Saccharomyces cerevisiae S288C: one gene and its partners. The protein of the gene in region 2 purifies or fractionates together with the protein of the main gene of each other region. This does not show direct contact. Each region holds a gene or a part of one and is shown on either strand. Other genes may lie near its edges. The genes, in order: NOP15, NOP7, RSA4 and TIF6.

What was found.
Region 1: the proteins of NOP7 (region 2) and NOP15 purify together in Saccharomyces cerevisiae (affinity purification with mass spectrometry; 10 studies listed by BioGRID, with this or other methods). This does not show direct contact.
Region 3: the proteins of NOP7 (region 2) and RSA4 purify together in Saccharomyces cerevisiae (affinity purification with mass spectrometry; 7 studies listed by BioGRID, with this or other methods). This does not show direct contact.
Region 4: the proteins of NOP7 (region 2) and TIF6 purify together in Saccharomyces cerevisiae (affinity purification with mass spectrometry; 13 studies listed by BioGRID, with this or other methods). This does not show direct contact.

Annotation. Positions count from the first base shown.
Region 1 is NC_001146.8:415,258-420,259, forward strand, and holds NOP15 (rRNA-binding ribosome biosynthesis protein NOP15), read right to left. Parts: upstream 3,232-5,002; coding exon 2,569-3,231; downstream 1-2,568. Other genes in the region: DEAD-box ATP-dependent RNA helicase DBP2, read left to right, coding at 657-1,024; CYB5 (Cyb5p), read right to left, coding at 1,683-2,045; YNL108C (uncharacterized protein), read right to left, coding at 3,757-4,569; YEATS domain-containing protein YAF9, read left to right, coding at 4,841-5,002. UniProt on the Saccharomyces cerevisiae protein: Involved in the biogenesis of the 60S ribosomal subunit. Required for pre-rRNA processing and cytokinesis. Associates with the precursors of the 25S and 5.8S rRNAs.
Region 2 is NC_001139.9:691,814-697,734, reverse strand, and holds NOP7 (mRNA-binding ribosome synthesis protein NOP7), read right to left. Parts: upstream 2,319-5,921; coding exon 501-2,318; downstream 1-500. Other genes in the region: SRB5 (Srb5p), read left to right, coding at 1-290; GTF1 (glutamyl-tRNA(Gln) amidotransferase subunit F), read left to right, coding at 2,600-3,151; rhomboid protease PCP1, read right to left, coding at 3,332-4,372; GTPase-activating protein MDR1, read right to left, coding at 4,638-5,921. UniProt on the Saccharomyces cerevisiae protein: Component of the NOP7 complex, which is required for maturation of the 25S and 5.8S ribosomal RNAs and formation of the 60S ribosome.
Region 3 is NC_001135.5:239,130-244,836, forward strand, and holds RSA4 (Rsa4p), read right to left. Parts: upstream 3,224-5,707; coding exon 1,676-3,223; downstream 1-1,675. Other genes in the region: peptidylprolyl isomerase family protein CPR4, read left to right, coding at 1-882; mitochondrial 54S ribosomal protein mL49 IMG2, read right to left, coding at 974-1,414; mitogen-activated protein kinase kinase kinase SSK22, read right to left, coding at 3,459-5,707. UniProt on the Saccharomyces cerevisiae protein: Involved in ribosome biogenesis. Required for processing and efficient intra-nuclear transport of pre-60S ribosomal subunits.
Region 4 is NC_001148.4:589,764-594,948, reverse strand, and holds TIF6 (translation initiation factor 6), read left to right. Parts: upstream 1-1,879; coding exon 1,880-2,617; downstream 2,618-5,185. Other genes in the region: RLF2 (Rlf2p), read right to left, coding at 1-473; guanine nucleotide exchange factor DSS4, read left to right, coding at 1,032-1,463; YPR015C (uncharacterized protein), read left to right, coding at 3,923-4,666. UniProt on the Saccharomyces cerevisiae protein: Binds to the 60S ribosomal subunit and prevents its association with the 40S ribosomal subunit to form the 80S initiation complex in the cytoplasm. Is also involved in ribosome biogenesis.

The DNA of each region.
Region 1 (5,002 bases), on a different chromosome or scaffold from region 2:
AGAGACGGGAAATTATAAACTCGGAGAAGTGTATTTGTGTTCATGATTTGCACTTCATGTCAAAAGAAATTTCGCTTTTTGACATCGGCGCAAATAAACAAGGAATTGGCTTTTCAGCTTATTTCTAGAACGCATACATACGCTTCGTTGATCGTTGTTTTTTTCAATGCTTGGCATTTGTACAAGGGTAGATTGTTTTATTGGAAAAATAATAGTATATTCTACTTTGAAATGCCGTCATCCTTCTTGACTATTGTTATTCTCATTTTGTGTAGTTTATGCATTTTGTAGTTATATTGAGATACTGTTGCATCCCAAGTTCGAATTATTAAGAAGTGCTGATAAAAATGGAAAATAACAAAATAAAAGGATTTCAACCATATTCAGAAATCATTTACTTTGTTTTCCTTTTTTTAAGTGCTAGCTTTCATTCAGTTTGAATAAGGATTCTGGAGTATTGATGATTAAATATTTCGAATTCTTTAATAAAAATATAATTTCTGATAATCTTCAAGCCAGGGGGAAATTTGAGACAATGTTGGGAGTCCAAACATGAATTTGTGGGGGGCATGAAAATAAAGTTCATATACAGAATAACGAACCAAATTACTAACAGTATGCTTTGTAAACGTTTGTTTACTTCTTTATTTTTTCAGATGTCAAAGGTATCAATTACGTTATCAACTACGATATGCCAGGTAACATTGAAGATTATGTTCACAGAATCGGTAGAACTGGTAGAGCAGGTGCTACTGGTACTGCTATATCTTTCTTCACCGAACAAAACAAAGGTTTAGGTGCTAAATTAATCTCTATCATGAGAGAAGCTAATCAAAATATTCCTCCCGAATTATTGAAATACGACAGGAGATCTTATGGTGGCGGTCACCCAAGATACGGTGGTGGTCGTGGTGGTCGTGGTGGCTATGGCCGTAGAGGTGGTTACGGTGGTGGCCGTGGTGGTTACGGCGGTAACAGGCAGAGAGATGGTGGCTGGGGTAACAGAGGTCGTTCAAACTATTGAAGTCAAAGTGATTCAATTCATTCATCTCTATTAATAATAATTATATAAGTTGACTGCACCTTATTTCTTCAATGCATGATAAAATTTTATTTGCTGTATACTACATTTTTAATATTTTAAAGCTCTTCGTCACACTTTTTCTTTAATACTCCTAAGTTTTTGGGTGAACGGTGGCAACTGGATTGAAGTTATTTCGCATAACGCTTAGTGTGCCGTAAAATAATAGGACAGACACTTTTCTTTGTTCTCGTACAACCCTGGGGCCGATGTTAAACGAATGATTTTCAAAAAAACAGTAGACTTACAAAGAAGTCGTGCACTAGCGCTTATGGGTCATTTTAGAATGAGCGAAATGCACGACAACCAGGTTGATCGTATTGAAGTAAGAGCAGAGCTTTATTTGCCTTTTTTTTTTTTATCTAAGACGATGATTTTTAGCCATACACAAAGATAAGTATATACATATTAATTTATAATAATTCTATCTGCCAGGCAGATTCTATGATACAGTGACATACTTCTATGCGATATAGTAGCATAAGTTAATGTTGTAAGACATTAATTTGGCCTTGATTGCTTGTAAATAAATAATTTAATAAACTGAAACGAAAAATTCAATTGAGTTTGGAGAAGAGTGTGGGCTATTCTGGAAGAAAAATTATTCGTTCAACAAATAATAAGCAACACCTAGCATTAAAATGGCCAATATGACAACCAATGTACCACTACCTTTACTTTGGTTTTCAGAGGTAGATACCTTTTCCACAGAAACGCGCTCACTGGTCTTGTCAACGTCACCAATGTATAAACCTTTCAGTAGTCTCAATGCTTCGTCAGAATGACCGATATCGACAAAGCTTTCTGTAGCATCTTGTCCACCCAAATCCATTATAATTTCATCACCACCTGGATGTTCATCTTTGAATTGAGAAACATCGTAAACTTTGTCATCGATGATAATCCAGAAATTTTCTGGGCCATTGTGTTCGGCAACTTCTTGGTAACTGTAAACTTTAGGCATGATTGTTTGATATTTTATGTTGTAGTTGATTGATTTTCTTTACTATGAAGAAAATGAAAATCGAATTTAAATATTAACGAGGAAGCCTGAACGAAAATTTTTGAGAAAGTTTCAAAAGCTTCTTGTTCTTTATATAGTTATTGGAAAAAGGACAATATATATATTTGTTATTTATTGATATAATAACAATGCTTCTCAAATATCGCTTTTTGGCCACGAATGCGACAAAAATTTTCTCGTTATGCTAACCTCTCTCACTATCTCGATCTCGTATAGCTTTCTTTTTTGCAGCTATTGTTCTTTTTCTGGGCCGTTAAATTTTTCATCCGGAAACTCCAGGCTATTACCCGCTCCGTGATTTTGGTCGTTGAATCTTCGTAAAAGCAATCATGTAAATATCATTGAATACGGACAAACGGAACTATATTGCTGGAATTAATGATATAAATGGTTTCCCAAGTTTGCTATATCTCCTATTCTATCTTACAAAACCCTTTTCTCAGGGTGGATGAGAAGTGACAAGTCACCATTTGAATTCGATACCTGACTTGGCTAATTTTTTTATCCTTTCTTCATGTTTTTGCTTCATGTTATCCTTTAGCTGTTTTACTGGTTTGGTGATACCTTTCTCTACTAGAACTCTCTTCTTGTATTTGTACAATTTCTCGATTTTAGCTCCTTTTGGTAATACACGCACTTGTAGTAGATGACCCATCAACAAGTAATTGTTCATAGATTCTTGGGCGATCATTGCATCCTCTTTATTAACGAATTCTAAGAAGCCATAATGTCTGGAATTTCCAGTTTTCTTATTACGTGCTAATCTCACTTCTTTTAAATCACCGAATTGAGCAAAATATTTACTTAATTCCTTTTCGTGGAACCCATGTGGCAGTCTACTCACATAAATAATCCCAGAATACTCTTCAAGTGTCTTTTTATCTTTCGACTTTTTTTCATTAGCCTGCTTCTTAGGATTCAATCTTTTAATCTTGTGTGTACCGCTCTGCTCATCATCAGAAGCGGCTAAACCTTCAATTTCATCTTCATCTTTTTCGTCTTCTTCATCTGAACTGCTAGACGATGTTTCTAGAGCCAACTCTTCTTTCTCCTGTATAGGTTTTTCTTCGGTGGGTTGTTTGGTTACTGTTTCCTTGGTGGAAGTTTTGCTTGTTGACTTTACCATATCGATCTCTTTCCTCTGTTATTTTATCTCTAGAACTTAACCCTATAGAAAAGGTAGTTAATGAAGTTAAAAGTAATGGTAATCGTCTTCAAATTAAGTGATGAGATGAGATGCGATGCACTACTTCATTTTTTCTTATGGCGGAAAATTTTTCATAGTGAAAAGAAACAGGCAAAATCTGGGGGGTAACCGCATACGTCTCTGCTATGCCGTCTGTAATGAGGATGCTAAAGTTGCAATAGCTGCTATGCACATTAGAAAGGGTTTAGCAGGATAATGAGTTTTCAGAGATAGCACAAAACTCGAAAGGTTTCGGTACTACTACCTAGACAGCTCATCTTTCAATCGTTGAACCTTGAATTTTGAAGTTTAGGGATATTAAAAGATACTGTTAATTCTATCAATTTACACTAGACTTTGACATATGTATATATATATATATATTCACACAGCTTCATCATGAAATAAAAATCAAATGCAGAAGTGTATAATGAGAAGTACAGAATTCAAGACTCACTTTAGTTTTCACTCCATTTTTAGTTTTCCGCTCTCAGCTGCTCTTCTCGCTTTGATATCAGCGTCTGAACCAGCCTCAAAGGCATTCATAAACGTCCAATTCATTTCTTCCCCATTAGTTAAAAAGGAGGTGTTGCCATTCATTGTAAGTTTCCACTCTCTCTCTTCAAATGGTATACTTTCATTTTCTCCTTTCACCAGCTCAAATTTATCAATAGCACAACTTCCATTTCTTATAAAGGTGCCTTTGTTATCAATGGGCTCTTTGGCACTGGAGAATTTCAACAAGTTCATACCAAGAGCGGATTTAGTGGCTGCGTGGGTAACTATCATAATGGTCTTTACATTTGGAAATTTTCTCTCCACTCTGTCAATAAAGACAGGCCAGAATTTATGGCACCTCTCAAAAATATCTTCTTCTGTTTCACCCTTATTACTAGGAATAATACTAGGTTCCCAGTCTGGAGAGATCATGCTTGGAAAAAACTTACTCATAACTTCATGAGTAGCAGGCTCCGGGATAATGGGTCTATCAGGCTTATACCATTCTCCTACACCACGATCGACATATAATGGAATCTTTAAAGCCTCCACTGTGGGTTTACTAGTTTCTAAACAGCGGTAAAATGGGGAGGAGAAAATCATTTCTGGTTTGACATCTAATTTAGAGATATAGTTCGCCAGTTCATGTGCCTGTTCAACACCGTGTTCCGAAAGCGGGACATCGTTATCAATACCGGTGGGCGGTGGTGGATATGGTCCCTTTGGTAGCCAGTTTGACCTGTAACCATGTCTGGCAATGTATATATTTTCGATAGCCATAATTTATAGCACTATTTTAACCTCTTGTACAACTAATTGAACGTCTTACATATTGAACGAAACTGCTTTACTTCTAGGATTGTTTTCAAAGCTTTTTTATAAATTTCGAAATATCCGCTATTCGGATGACGTGATGACGCTTCGGCACCATTGATTATTTTTCCAGAGTTTAGATGTCTTCTATGTGCAACTGAACAAGTAGCCTTCGAAAGCTAGAGGGATAGATACATTACTTGTGACCACCTATTTACGGCATCACAAAGAAAGCGAGATGGCTCCGACAATAAGCAAAAGGATAAAAACTCTCTCCGTGAGCAGACCAATAATATATGGCAATACGGCTAAAAAGATGGGTAGCGTTAAACCACCAAATGCTCCTGCCGAACATACTCATTTATGGACAATTTTTGTCAGGGGCCCACAAAATGAAGAT
Region 2 (5,921 bases):
AATTTCAGTATCTTACAATTGGTGTGAAATTTTTTATGAAGCATGGTTTAATACTTGAGTTACAAAAAATTTGGCAAATAGAAGAAGCAGGCAATTCACAAATAACAAGCGGAGGGTTCCTTTTAAAAGCATACATCAATGTTAGTAGGGGGACCGATATCGATCGTATAAACTATACAGAGACTGCCTTGATGAACTTAAAAAAGGAACTACAAGGCTATATAGAGTTAAGTGTACCCGATAGACAGTCAATGGACTCGAGGGTAGCACATGGAAATATTCTAATATAATCATTGGCACCTGGGCATATTTTTACAAAATTCACTCATATAGTTATACAGAACAACAGTAACCACTTTTAATGTACAGGTATTTCTATATCTACAAACAAAAATGTGTAGTTATATATCTAATGTTGCTATACCGAGGAATTATAAAGTAATAAAGATGTTAAATTAAAAGACAAAATTTTTGAGAGGCTATTGGAAAAGAAGAGAAAACTATTTCTTGGAATCTAGTTTATTCAGTTTAGCTTTTTGTTTGGCAATTTGCTTCTTTTTCTTTTTTAAGTTCTCAGCTTGTTCCTCCTTTTTAGCATTAGAATACTTCATTTTTTTGTAAAGTTTCTTTTGTTTGTTACTCATCATTATCATTTTCAATTTCTTTTCTTCTTCTTCTTCATCCACCTTTCTCTTTTTGTTCTTTGACTTATTGACATCCTTATCAGCTTCTGAAGTTTCAGAATATTTGATACCTTGTGCTTCCAATTCAAGCTCTTTTTGAGCTTGTAGCTCTTCGTCATCGTCATCATCTTCTTCTCCAGCAACAACTTCTTGATCTTCCTCCTCAACTTGATCTTCACTTTCACTTTCACTTTCACTTTCTTCTTCTTCGCCTTCTTCGACAGGAGCAGTTGGATCGTAACCAATAGCATCACCCCATGGGCTTAAGTGAGGTGGAAGAGCCTCCCCTGGAAGATATTTGTTGGCAGGTACCAATTCGCCTTTATTGATACAATCAAATATCCACTGTGGCTGAATATACGTTCTGCCAGCTACCTTGTTTTTCAAAACTGGCCTGTCAACAATTTGATGAGTGACCTTGGACATGTCAATATCCTTCTTATTTTCAATTTGGTCCATAGCAGCTTCACTGATGACATTACCACCACAAGATAAGATCAAGAACTCAAGAATATCGATCGGAACTTCTCTGCTAACGTAAAAAACAAATGCAGAAAACAAAGAAGCAACAGGAGAATCGTACTTACTTGGCTGTATTAAGATGTCACCCTTGTTCTTATTGTTATCCTCGAAAGTATCTAGTTCCGTTTCCTCATTTTGTTCCTTTTCTTGTTCCTTTTCTTGTTTCTTTTCTTGTTCTTCCTCCTTTTCTGTTTCATCAGTATTTGCCTCATCGGCATTCAAGGCAGACTTTAATGTCGATGCGTCCAAACTTTCAACTTTTACGTCTTCCTCAATCTCAGTTGGGTCAAGTTTTAGTAGGCTGTCTTCTTGTCTGGATTCTAGAATATATGATGACAAACCACTTATGATTTTATCCTTTTTAAGATCCAATTTTGGCGGATAAATCAACCCACTATCGGTGTATAACTTATATAGGACGAAATGCAATAGAGTCGAGTAGAATTCTAAGAAGGTCAACATAATTCTGAAATCAACGTCACTGGGGATGTTTTCTGGAAACTTGAATGGAACTAACCATCTAACTTCTTCACCCTTAATATTGGCTTGATAATAAACACCTTTAATGGATACAAACACTTTACGAACCAAGCGTTCCTTGGCAACATAGGCTAACCATTGATTACAGATTTTCTGAGCATCATTGATAATTTTCGAGGAAACCTGGTTGGTAGAGGGCAAATTAGAGAAAAGAAATAACATATTCAAAGCATCATCAATATCCCTTATAGCATCTGGGAAACTTGGATAACGCTCCTTGATAATATGGTCTAAAGTATAACTATCTCTGTTTTCCTCTAACCTTTTAGCAGAAGAGACTTCTCCCCTACCCAAAGCCCTTGTTAGTTTCCTAGCAAAAGTCTTGTGTTCTCTAAATTTAGCCAAAACGGGCTCATGCATTAGATATTGAATATCCTTAGCATAGTAAAAAGTAGTTGGTGCAGTAGAGCCCTTGTTTGCCTTCTTTTTATTTCTTGGCTCTCTAGGATAGATACCTTTGAATATACATAATCTTCTGAAATCAGCAAGAGAAACCTGTAATTTTCTCACAGCTTGAGATCTGGTAATAAAGTTTCTTGCGTTACCTCTGGTGTTTTTCTTCTTGATTCTCATTGTATAAGTAGGATACCGCTGTTACTATACTATTTTCTACAGGAATAAAATGTATTCCACCAGCAGGATTTACTACACATCTCTAATTAACCTTCCAAAATTTTTCATTTTTTCTCATCTCATCTCATCGCAAAAAATTTTCTTTAATTTTTTCAGGCAATAATAATAGTCACCACAGACGACATGACATTATTCTGTAAATATAACATCAAGGAGGTAATAGTGACTAGCATTTAGGCTTTTAGATCGAACTATTTGCACTTACCCATAGTGCTAGAACGATGTACAAAACATGGCGTCTATGCAGAACACATACAGTGGGTGGGTTATGCCATGATGGAAGTCATCGGTTCGTATCTACGGGAGGGGCAAAGATTGGTAAAAAATTTGAAAATATGAATCAAATAAGGGATTATTTATCAAGACCTGTATGGTCCGTCCACGAATATTTAGGCATAAACACTAAAGAGGAAAAACTAGAGCCACCGTCTGCTGAAGCTGTAAAAAAATTGTTGCGGTTATCAGGTCTTCCCTTGGAAGGAGCAGATATTAAAGAAATTCAAATGCGACTTGCCAAGCAATTATCATTCATCAACAAACTCCATAACATACCTGTCGAAGGTGAAAAGCACACCAAGGAATATGATGCTCGGTTGGTGCAAAGAAATACGAAACAGCTGAACTACACAAAGCTACTTGAAGGCATCAGCCACCAAAAGCAGGATGCTGAGCTAGGAGAAGTTAGCGGATCTTGGAAAGCAACTGGACTTGCCGCGGAATCCAAAAATGCATATTTTGTTGTCAAAGAGGGACTACTCAAAAACAGGAAGTAAGACTTAGAAAAGTAACACATACGCTCTATTCTATATATTCTTTTGCCTATGAATTTTCTTGTACATGTACCACCACGATAAGGCTGAAATATTTTTCAAATGCATAAATAAGATTAAGTACATAGAAGACATAGCAGTATTTACAATATTTCGAATGAGAATGTGTCTTTTTTTAAGTGATTAAAACCACCTACCAGCAGCCTGAAGGCGACGCTGCCTTTGTTTCTCTACAGCTTTACTTATATACCATCCGTACAAGACCCCCATCATAGAGCCACCTAAATGCGCAGCGTAATCAAATGACCCCCATCTTAAAGCACAACCAGCTGCATTCCATGCCACTGAAGCCAAGAATGCTACCCAAGCCCCACCTGGGACTGGGAAAACAAACAGCAAAATTTTAGCGTGTGGGAATAGATATGAAAAACATCCTAAAACCCCAAATAGCGCTCCACTGGCACCCAAGCTAGGTCCGACAATGGCTAGGCGTGCCAGTTTTGGATACCATAACGAAAACAAAGAACCTGCAATGGCACTATTCATATATAAGGAGAAAAAATTGGATGCTCCCAACATTGTTGCGAGTGAAGTACCAAAGGACCACAACGCTAGCATGTTCATACCTAAGTGCCAGAATTCTTGATGTGAAAACGCACTTCCGATTATCGAAATTTTGCTAGTTACGTAATCCTTTTGCAGCAACATGTACTTCTGTAGAAACCTCCAGCATTTGGGTAGCTGCCATAGTCCAAATACGGCAACATTGATGCCTAATAACGCGTATACCAGATTCTTTGGATGCGTCTTAAAATACGTAAAGGGTGGAACGTGCTCGAACAAATAAGGGGAGCCAAAATATATTCCTGCCATTAAAGAGAGCCCCAAAATAGTCATAGAGCCCAGAGGATTGCCGCCGCTTCTCTGCTGCTGGTACTGCTGAAACCTGTTCAAACGTACGTATCGATTAGTAGTTTCTTCATTGAATATAGGCTTCCACCTTGATTTCAAAATTGATGTTTGAGAAAAGAACCGTTTCGGTATAATTTTCTGAAGATTTGTGACATTGTCCTCTAAGTTGGGAGCATTTTTGAGTATCGACGTGCTCTGGGATCTTCCAATATATGATACAAAAGTCCTCGAAGGTGAAACCGAAATATTACTGCGGAAAAAAATTCTTGTAGCAGGTCGAAGACCGAGCATAACAGAGCTTACACCTGACATGTTCACACTTGGGCAATTTATTACTTTTCACTGTCTGTATATGTCAGTTGCGAAAGCTGTACCCTTTTCAGTCGTGATTGCCACCTTTTCTATTTCACCGCCAATTATACTTCCAGACAAGAATTTAGGCTTTTTTCGCTCCGAAAATCCGCATTTATGAGAGTTATATGAGGGATCTTCACCAAATCCTGGCAAATATTGCTTTAAATATCTATATAAACACGTACAGATGTTTTAGGGTGACATAAAATTGATAAGCACGATTTCATGCTTCAAATTCAATAAGGTTGGACTTCTCTTCCGAGGAATTTGCCGACAAAGGCTCAAAAGACCTTTCTTGTATGGCTTTAGTGCTAGTTTCATTGGCATCGTCGATCTCAAACCAGGAACTTTGTAATAACTCTTCATTCTCGGGTTGATGCTCTGACGTGAAATCATCTAGATCATCGTACTTTTCTTCTTTGGTAGTTATTGAACTTGCAGCGGCTGTTGGCGTACTCTCTACAGAAGCAATGCTGCTCCTAGTTGCCACCGAATCGACACGACGACGAACTTGCTCAGCAACTCTTTTGCCGTCTGCCAATATACCGTCAAACATACTTCTGAGGACTTTATTTTTGTTATCAATGTTGACATGTTCGTCGACGTGAACAGATGATCGTAAAGTATTAGAAAAGAAAAGCTCGTAAGTTTCATCTGCGAGGATGATCATTCTAAATGTTGGCAAATCTATTACTTTTGGATGGGTGGGATCTAGGGCTGCATTTGCCTTTATGCTTTCCAGTTGTTTTTGTTTTACCGTTCGCTTTTCTTCGCCTTCATCATCAGACAAGTCAATCAAGTTTACCTCCTCCGCGAGATCAACTGCTTTAGCATATTCAAAAGATCTTTGTAGGAAATTGCTTGCAGCTTTTAGGTATCTTTCTGCTTGTTCAACTTTATATTTTTCCTCATCAATAGTAACCCCAGTTGGTAACTCGATTTGGTTCATAGTGGCTATCTCTCCACCGCTTTCCTTGATGATGTTTTCAGCAATATCATCTTCAATGCGCTTTTTAGTTAACAGATCTACATATCTACCGCTCTTCCAAGGTTCCGTTAGCAGTAGCAGCCCTTCCGACAACTGTAGCACTTCTTCTCTATGCAATTCACCATCGCCATCTGTATCATATAAAGAGAAAAAATAGTTTATAGCTTGTAAAAGATCAACAGTTACCAGTTTATCCAAGCCTGTTACCACATCGTTCAATGTCAACTCGCCGATATGAGCAGAATCCCAGTTATCAAATAACCTTTGCAGAAAATTCCTTTTTTGTTTCCGGAAAGCTGGATCTTTGTCCTTTTCACACGGTCTACAGGAGTCACAGAATTTACTCAAGAACTGAATGAATACTTCGAAACCCATATTAGATGATCCCGTTCCCATACTAATTTTGTAGGTTTCTATACTTTGGTAAAACATGTCATAGATATTGGACAAGTCATCACTGGACAGGTTGAAAGTTTTTGGCATATGGCGCAGTTGCGTTCTTTTCATGAAAGTCTCAAT
Region 3 (5,707 bases), on a different chromosome or scaffold from region 2:
AAGCAGATTACCTCCAAGGATGTTGATCTTCAGAAAAAATATGAGCCCAGTCCCCCCGCCACACATCGTGGAATAATCACTATCGAATACTTTGATCCCGTTTCGAAGTCGATGAAAGAGGCGGATCTGACTTTTGAGTTGTACGGTACTGTCGTGCCCAAAACTGTGAACAACTTTGCTATGCTGGCCCATGGTGTTAAGGCAGTTATCGAAGGGAAAGATCCCAATGATATACATACTTACTCGTACCGTAAGACCAAAATCAACAAGGTTTACCCTAACAAGTATATCCAGGGTGGTGTGGTTGCCCCAGATGTGGGTCCTTTCACCGTCTATGGGCCCAAATTTGATGACGAAAACTTTTACTTAAAACATGACAGGCCTGAAAGACTCGCAATGGCCTATTTTGGACCTGATTCTAACACCTCGGAATTCATCATCACCACTAAAGCCGATGGAAATGAGGAATTGGATGGCAAAAGTGTCGTGTTTGGTCAAATAACTTCTGGTCTAGATCAACTAATGGATGCTATTCAATACACAGAAACAGACGAATATGGAAAGCCTCAGCATGAATTACGGTTCCTGTATTTCGTTCTAGAAATCTTAAAAATTAGTAACATCTTAGATTTGCACGCTGCGTACACAGAAAAAGTCGAGAAGTTTAGAAATGGCGATGTGTCTGTTGGCTCCACTTTGGAAAACATCTTCCGTAACGATAAAGCCTACACACCTTTAACCACCTCCACTGGAACCACCGCCTATGATTTAAACCACCCAATTTCCAGAGCCTTGATGTGTTTAACTGTTCTTGGCCTTTGTTTCATTGCCTACAAGGGCATGCACGAAAAGCCTCATACGGTTTCATTAAGACACAAGTAAGCAACTTCTTTTCGATGGCTTGATGACCACATGGCTATGATTTTAATTAATATATATACATGACAATTATTTTTTTATACATTAGCGATACCTAAAATTTCTTGGTTAATACCCTTTTGACAGCCTCTACTGCATTGCCCTTGATAATAATTTTTTTCGATTGCATCACCACAGACCATGATTTTTTGGGTATGAAAGGCAGTTGCTCCTGCAAGTCATTTCTTAGTTGAATTACATCTCCTTCAATCTTTCTGATCTCCGTGATAATCTTGTTACCTCCATTTTTATAAGCGGAATACACCGGTAGATTTCCGGTCCTGCTTCTCTCCACGTAGTAGGTCTTTTTACCAAAATTGTTGTTTCCTATGAGCTCATGCATCTTCACGTCTTCCAGCTTTGGAAATATTGGCGCCTCAGCAGCTTTATTTGAATTAGTGGATATACATCTTATCGTTTGGTATATCGAGGCAGTGGCAGGCCCTGGAAGGCATTTACCCCTACCAAAACATCTAGTAACACACGAACTGATCATAGTTTTGCTCACACGCTACCTTGGAGTAAGTTGCTTTAGGTAAACGGGCACTTCTTTCAAAAGGTTTTCCTTCTTGCTGGAGCTATACTGCTTATAGTACCATATTTTAAATTCATACCAAGCCATTCGTACGCGATGACCATTATAGATCGACCTTGCGACACCATCATATTTAATATTCAAAAAGAAAAAAATGCAGTTCTATATCACAGTTATATAATATTTATATGTGCATGTATGTTACTTGTCTTTGCACATAACTCAATGCGTCCACAATCTTACCATCTTGTCTTTCCCACCACTACACACTCTTTTACCGTCGACACTCCAGTCGACGGTATAAACTTCGTCTTTATGACCAGGGAGGTCAACAGAAAGTTTTCTAGTTCTTACATCCCACACTTTCAACGTGGTATCTTTGGAACATGACACCAGTAGTCGGCAGTCCGATGACCACGCAACCTGGTATACGCTGGCTACATGCCCTCTAAATGTGGAGATAAACTTACCATCTCTACCGTCCCAAAGTTTGATAGAGTTATCAAAAGACGCTGAGACAATATACCTACCATCAGGGCTGAACGCCACATGATTGACTAATTTTTGGTGACCGGTCATTCTTGCTATAGGCTTGGTAGATTTTAGTGGGTTCCATAAAAACATGGTATAATCATCGCTTGCAGTAACCATCATTTCTTCTGAATTTCCATTCTTTTTACAGATTTTTTCATAATTTTCCAATGCCTTTTTCTGGGCTTCTTCTGGTGTAGAAGGCTTCTTACCTGTATGATCGAATGCACCAATGCGCAATGCGTAATCTGTAGATAAAGATAAGTGATTAACCCAGTGCGCATGCGACTTCAAAATGTTGATACATCTGCCCTGCGAATTGATGTCCCATACACGTACGGTTCTATCGTGAGAGCCACTATACAATAGACCTTGGCCGCCCCATTTGACACAAGACACTGAATTTGTGTGACCACTCATCGTATACTGGCAAACTCTGCTCACAGTGTCCCAAATCTTAATAGTACCATCCTTAGAAGATGAAGCTAATCTTGGTTTGGAGCCCGGCTTCACAAGATGTATAGGTTCCCAACTTAAAGAAGTGATCCACTTGGAATGACCTCTGAGAGCATCACCTAGACACTGACCGCTTTTTGGGTCCCATAATCTTATGGTATTGTCCATGGATCCCGTAGCAATTACTTCTCCATCGGGGGACCAGGAAACGCAGAGAACCCAATTGTAGTGACCCTTTAGAGTATGCATTGGCGTTTGGGTGTCACAGTCCCAAATCCTTGCAGTATTATCACCTGCACCGGTTACCATCCTAGAACTCGTATGTGGTGCGAAGGCAGAACACAAAATTGTGGAACCGTGACCTGCAATGGCTGATGAACTTCTAGTTACCGGCTTGACTTTGAAAACTGCTCTTGGCGTATACAGTAGCGTGATCTGATCTTCTGTACTGTTATAGCCTGGTTTTATTAATGAAGAATATAGGTTATCTGTTATATCAATCGTCTTCACAGGGTCACTGGCCTTCTTACCTTGAATTGTACAGCTGAAGGTATATGGCACTGGATCGTCTGAAGTACCGTTCAATTGATTTAAAAGTTCTTCTAACTGTTTCTCGGAGATAGCACCGGGAACTCTCAGGGCGCCACCTACATTGTCACCAGTATCTAAAGCTTGGAACTTGATTGAAACATTGGGTAAATCTTTCGGAATAATAGCTACTTCTCTGGGAAGTTGAGCCTCTTTCTTTTGTTTCTTAGAAGGTGGAGGAATCAGGGTGGACATCTGTATATTGTGTTAGTGTGTGTTTATCGAGGTTACAAATATAAAAATCTTGTGATATATGTCTTTTAAAGATACTCTTTTTGAAGCTCATCGCATTTTTTTTTTTTTTTTCATTTTAAAATTTTTCACCGGTTTCTCGGGTAACAGCTCTAAATGAAATCTTGCCTTCATCACCATTATTGAATTACATTACATTATATATCGTAGTATATCATATTTTTAGACGTTGACCACTCTATGAGCTTAGGATAGGTACTTGATCTTTCTCTGAGTTGCCAAATGCTATTTCACGGATTTGTATCATCCAAGGGTCTATCAGTAGTTCCACAGCAGTAGCCCTCATAGTGGGGTCTTGAACCAAACACCTTTCCAAGAAGGCTCTTCCCGCTGCAGTCATTTCGTCTCTATTGGGTAGTTGCGGTATTCGACCTGCAGCAACGTGGTACATGATGGCCCATTCATTATCCAAGTTAGACCAAGGTCGTCTACCTGTGGCCATTTCTAGCACAACACATCCTAATGCCCATACATCGTCCGCTCCAAGTTTTCCCTTAACTGCCGAGCCTGAAATAGTCTCTGGAGCCATATACATCGGTGTCCCCATCATTTCATTGAGGGACTTTGTTTCTACTCCAAAATCTTGAACGGCTGCGTTCCGCACAGTTCTAGTCCTAGATCCTACAACGGTACGTGCCGTACCAAAATCCACATATTTTATGATTCCATTGAAATCCAGCAAGATATTCTCCGGTTTAATGTCGCGATGCACCACGCCAGATTGGTGCAAATATGCCAAACCTTCTAATAGTTCGAATGTGTACACTTGTGTTACCATTTCATCTTCAATTCTTCCATGATCCAATAACGAGGCTAAAGAACCACCCTCACAGTATTCCATGAAGATGTTAACTTTATCGCGATGTACTTCGACACCATAGTACTGGACAATATTAGGATGGTTTAACATTTCCAATACGGTCATCTCTTCTTTAATCAGGGGAAAAATCTTCTTCATTGTTGTGGTATCGTGTATCTTTATTTCCTTAACAGCTAAGATTTCACCGTTTTCCAGATTAATTGCAGAGTATACCTGTCCAAATGTTCCACCGCCAATGAAGCTTCTTTTTTGCCACCTCATTGATACATTCGATAATGAGGATGCTAGCGATAGTAGGTATTTGTTTCCCTGATCTGTAGCATCCAATACCTTACCCATTTGCCTGGGATTCCTCTTCATAGTCTTTTCCAACGTCTTTATAGCTTCCAGTCTCAACCTGCTGTTTATTTCTAGGGTGGCCTCTTCATCAATATTCTCTTCAGTATCAATATTCAATCTTGCCTGTTGCATGCCATTTTCAGCTTCAGTGGCTCGTGCACCCATAACGTCGAAATGTGAAATTAATAATGACATACATACTGATACCCTCTCCTTCAGTTCTTGAAATTGCTTTACATTCAGCGCCAGGATATTATAACCACTAGTCATCTGCATCGCAAAATCCATTGCAAGAACGCACCATCGGAAAGTTCGCTGATCGGTAGGATCACACTCTTCAACAAGGAATTTCAACCAGTTCATTCCTAATTTAACCATCAGAAAGATGATAACGTACTTCCTCTTTGAGCTAAAGGCGTTATATTTAAGGAAACTTCTTCCAAAATCCCTTCCAAACATGAATATCGAATTTAACAACTCATTTCCCGGACATTGCTTCATAAAGCTACCTAGAATTCCTTTGTAGTTGTTCAATACTGTATAAGTAAGTTTGTAATATGCCTTATTGATTTTTTGTAGGGAGGATTCAATTGAATTGAGTGAACAACGTTTCTCTATGAATGAAACAGAATCACCTACCGTTTGATTAAACTTGTCGATTTGATAAGTCAGTGCATAATTAGAACCTTGATTGAGTAAAATCAACGTATTTGGGTTACCAATTTTCCCTAAATCCATTTCGTTGGATGCAAAAAGGTTGTTACCTGGAAGCTTATATACTGGTCCATCCCAAACTACTGGCTCTCCAGGATATAGTACAACTAGTGCACCCAATGAGCTCAAAGCAACTTCCAATTCAAAAACTTCATTGTTCTTTTCATCAAGGTGCTGATCAAAAGGGTCTGTTGAAAAATTCTTCTTTTTGGACTGATGAGCATGCCTGTCCAAATCACTTGACGAATTTGCTACTACTCGGTAGTAAGGAATTCCTTTGGAATCCTCCCCTTTCGATACTAGAATGTTCAAATCTGTTTCTTTTGTTGTTATATCATACACATTCAAATTATTTCCAATGTCAAGCTTTGGGACCAAATCACAGCCAATGGATTTATTTCGCAAAATTCTTAAGATGGTATCATTGTCACAACCTAATAATTCAGGAGCAGCAAACATATATACACCACTAGACTCAAAAGTGTTACCGGAGTATACCAAAAAATAGTGAGCATCTTTTAACTTTTTAACAAGTTGTGCATTATGATTAATCT
Region 4 (5,185 bases), on a different chromosome or scaffold from region 2:
TTTCTGTGTTTCTCTTCTGCACGTTGCTGCTTTTTTAGTTCCTTTTCTCTTTTAGCTTCTTCCTTTTTCGATGAGGAAAGTTCTCTCTTAGAGCATGGAGAAGAGCTTCTGCTTTTTGTCTCGATAGCTATTATATTTCCATTGGGTACTTGTTTGTTGGTGTTTCTATCGTATTTTGTACTTTGTATGGGTGAATTTTTGTAGCATAAAAGCTTGTCTTCAGCATTGGCCTTCTTAGGTGTCGTTTTCATTTCATCTGCACACTCTTTATTGATGCTTTTCATGGTTTCTTGTTTAACAGTTTCTATCATAGGTCCACTGACATCCTCTTTAGGATCATCTAGAGTGATGACATCCTTCTCTTTCGTGAGAAACTTATTACTCTTTACCGTAGTTGTATTCTGGAAAAAAGATAGTATGCCTTTTTTCTTAGTGTCGTCCTGTAGAGGAATTGATTTGAGATGTTGCTCCATTTTCCCTTTTCCTTTCGATTCTCTTCTGTCTTGAGGTTCACTAAAACATATAATTCTCTGTAACAGCAATAACAGAATGTTCTTCTCCTCAACGAATTGGCTGGAAAAATGATGTATTTCAAGAAGTGGAACCAATAAGAATTTTATTTTTTAGTCAGTTCGCAAACCTTTTGGTTTAACGATGTAGATCTTTCTTTTTTTCAGTTGAAGCCTTTCACGCGTCCGAACGCGTGAGCATATATGCAAGCCGTCTGACACTATAGATCGCGCCAGGTAGGGAACCACTTGATCCAGCACGATGAGCCCGACAACTCAAAACTCCCTTCTTCTGTATCAAAATACTTTTCAGCATATCCATATCATTCTTCCTTTCTCTTCGTAAAGGCTGACTGGGCGCCGGGGACCCGCTAGTTTAGTAGTACTGTGAATATCGTCATTGTCGTACTGAACGATTATATATCGATCATTTTAATTAATGAAGTACATATCAAAAACTTGACTGGTATGAGTAGAAAGTTCAATTAAAAGGGCTGGAAAAATGGGGGAATAACAGAGAACATGAGCAAGGCTACGTGTTCCTTTGAGGGCTGTCATAGTGCAGTTATTACCATCAACGATGATAACATAATAAACTTACCAGAGCAGGTGCACAGCGAATTCAAGTTGCTGGAAAACAGAACTATGCGAGATGCTACCCCCAGCGAGAGCAACTTCTTGGTCGTCCCTGATGTTTGGGACTTTGATAATGTTGGTGTATCTAGAGAAATTCCTTCTTCTATATTAGGGGATTTGAGTGATAAGAGTGATTTTGTCTTTGAGTATGGTAATTCCAGCTGGAAGATTAAAAAGTGCTTGAAATATTTGATATGCGCTGATTGTGATAAAGGTCCTATTGGAATAATATGTAAGGTGCAAGATCAGACAAAGAATGAAGAAAGAGTTTTGCATCTACTAAGCTTGCGAAGCCTTCAAATTATGGGAAGGAATTAGTTTGGTAGGCACTAGAACAAAAATAGGTTGCCGCCACCAGAAAAAAAAAAGAGTAACCAACCACCTATTTCACTGGCATGGGCCACCTATAACAAGCTATAGAAGTAGTTCTGGTTTACATTACTAGCATCACTTTATGTAATAATATAGGCATTCTGGACGAAATCCTAATGGATGAGCATTACCCGTTTTTTCCGAGGGCCAAACGAAAATTTTCGGAAAATTTTTATTAATTAAAGATTTAAACCCATATTCCTTTGTGCAGATTTTTTCTTTTACTGTATGTAACGCAATATTCAATATTGCATAATTAAAAGAAGCCTCATCCCTCGTTGGTCTTATAGTATAATTACAAGAAGCAATACGACAGAGTATTTGGAACAAGAGCATAATTCAACTAACTCTAGAAAACAATAATGGCTACCAGGACTCAATTTGAAAACTCCAATGAAATCGGTGTATTCTCCAAATTAACGAATACTTACTGTTTGGTTGCTGTTGGTGGTTCTGAAAACTTTTACTCTGCATTTGAAGCTGAATTAGGAGATGCTATTCCCATCGTTCATACCACTATTGCTGGTACGCGTATCATCGGTAGAATGACCGCGGGTAACCGTAGAGGTCTGCTAGTTCCAACCCAAACTACTGATCAAGAATTACAACATTTAAGAAATAGTTTGCCGGATTCCGTTAAGATTCAAAGGGTAGAGGAAAGACTATCTGCCTTGGGTAACGTCATCTGTTGTAATGATTACGTTGCTTTAGTGCATCCAGATATCGACAGAGAAACTGAAGAATTGATAAGTGATGTACTAGGCGTTGAGGTCTTCCGTCAAACCATATCAGGTAATATCTTAGTTGGGTCATATTGTTCTTTAAGTAATCAAGGTGGGTTAGTGCATCCACAAACAAGTGTCCAAGATCAAGAAGAATTGTCCTCCTTATTACAAGTTCCTTTGGTGGCTGGTACCGTTAACCGTGGTAGTTCAGTTGTCGGTGCCGGTATGGTTGTGAACGATTACTTGGCAGTTACAGGTCTGGATACTACAGCCCCAGAATTGAGTGTTATTGAAAGTATTTTCCGCTTGCAAGATGCCCAACCAGAATCCATTTCAGGTAACCTACGTGATACTTTGATTGAAACCTACTCATAGATGTCAGGTACTCCTGAGGGGATTCCCCTCCTTCCTCAAGTCTGTTTACAGTTGTATGCGAAAGAGTCCCCATGTTGCAATAATCTTCTTACGTATCATTTGTGGTATTTTTTTTGGTATAACAAATATTTTTTCTTAGGTTTCTATGCATTTTAATTTTAGTTGTATGTATATTATGTACTCTTTTATTTTTTTTTTTTTTCTTATACCTATGGGTGACTATTCATTGCAGTTTAAGTAGGCGTCTTAATTGTAACATGTAGTCACTTTGTTCGAAGCATATGTAACGGGTTTCTAAGCAAATTCTTTGCATAATATGGATTTTCCGTCCGCTTCTCCGACTATTCTGACAACTTGCTCAGTTCCAAGTATCTGTTAGACAATATAGAACTTCTCCAAGAAAAATTGCACCGCACGTAGACCATTTGAAGGCTTTTTTGTCTAGCTGCTAGGACATACTATTGTCTCCACCAGAACCCGGAGAGTAGTATCTCTTGGCAAAGATTAATAAAATCGAACAAAGCTAATAGAACACCGGGGGTTGTGCGGTAAGATTTTCACAAGCGGTACAGAAGTGAGCCGTAAAATTATATATATATATATATATATATGGTGTACAACAAGTCAGCCGTCCATTTATGTGCTATCAAGCGAACTACGTTTCATCTCTTCAACTTGGTAGTTCTTGAGATATAAACACCCTGATCCATCGTACTCACTGAAATAGCAACAACTCCCTGAGTTCCATTGCCACGCATACCCACTCTCATATCCAGAAACAGCTAGTATTTCGATGTTTTTCCGCTCGAAGAAACTTCCGTAGTATTGTTGAGGTGTTGGGGGCATCGTTCCTTTTCGTACGCCAAAAATTCTTCCTCTATTGTTTCCAGAAAATCGTTGCAAAAAAATAAGTCCGCCACGCTGTTTTCTGTGACAACTCTATCTGGAGCCTTCACTAATGGTTTAAAAGGCACGATTTCCACAGAAAGTTTCGCAGCACTTGTTTGTACAAGGAGCGTAAAGCACCGGAAATCTTTTCCCACTGAAACCCTAAATATGAACGGCATTTGGTTGCCATGAGATACAGTCCCAAGAATTCTTTATATTATATAAGCGCTAGTTGTTGTCGCTCTTTTGACCTCATTGGTAGATATTTCAAATTACAAAATTATAATTGTTTTCTTGGTCCAACTTTTTTCTTCTTTTTGGAGGGCATTGCAAGGATCCAATACGATAAGCAAACGTCTTCATTGACCCGTTTCTAACTTTTAATATACATAAATTTTCATCTTCAACACTAATTAAATGTGGAGAACAAAAACGCTAGAATCTATGCTTTGTAGCCCAATGAAATGTTCATCGTCTAACATAGGGGGATCCTATGCGCAATCTTCAAAGGAAGTCTCGAACACGACCAAAAGGGAAGTGCATCTTCCACCTTGTTCGTCGATTATGCACGCTCCACTTACTCCTGAAATAAACCAGGCCGCACTACCACCTCCCGCTTACCATTACGCACCTTCTTCTCTGCATCAGACAGAGGATCCCGTATGGAGATCAAGTCCCAACTCTATTATCTTTTCGCCGGTTATAGCAACACCGCAACCTTTCCCTTTAACGTTCGTTGAACGTCAATCTTGTTGCCCTATTTATTCAACGGCAGCTTCCTCTTATACTGCCCAATCTGTACCTCCATCAATGCAGCATTTTCAGGAGGAAAACCACAGAGCGGTGAGCAACGAGCAGTACTCCCTCCCGAATGTGCATATAGGGCAAAATCCTGGGACGCTATTATCCCAAACACAAACCGACTTAGATCTTATACAAAAGCAACTGCGCGCTGTGGTAAAGCTACGGAAACAATGTCCTATCTGTGGGAAGGTTTGTTCGAGACCTTCAACACTGAGGACTCATTACTTAATACATACGGGAGACACACCTTTCAAATGTACTTGGGAGCATTGCAACAAATCTTTCAATGTCAAGAGTAACATGTTAAGGCATTTAAGAACCCATCAAAAGAAAATAGCAAAGAAAAAACATCAGTGAAAGCATTGTTTAGAATATTTTGTTTTCAGTGTGATTTTGATGTAGGTGTGACACTTTTTACCAAGTAAAATGAGTATAGATATGTATTAGTTCCATATAATATATTACATGTAGCCAACAATCAATTTTTACTGACTTCCGATTTTTGAATAGTGAGAGGATTTTTGTTCGAATTATAATTTCTACAAGAAATTTGTTTGCGAATGCATCAGCATTTGTAATACGGTTCTATACTGCCGCACGATACATTTTATTCTGTCTAGTTCGTAAGACAAAGGACCTTTTCATTTAGTACAACGTTGCCGACACGGATGTCTTGATGAATCTCTGTACCAGGAATTCAATTACCTGACTAGTATGCAGTTCACTATCAAAAAAAAAAAAAAGGTTAAATTGGTATAATCATGGTTAAAGAACAAACAGCCTCTTTCCTCTACAAAAGTATGTTAAATGTAGGTAGTTCAAATTGCGGTCACGTATATGCCAACGTTGTTAATATATAATGATCCATTGGAACAA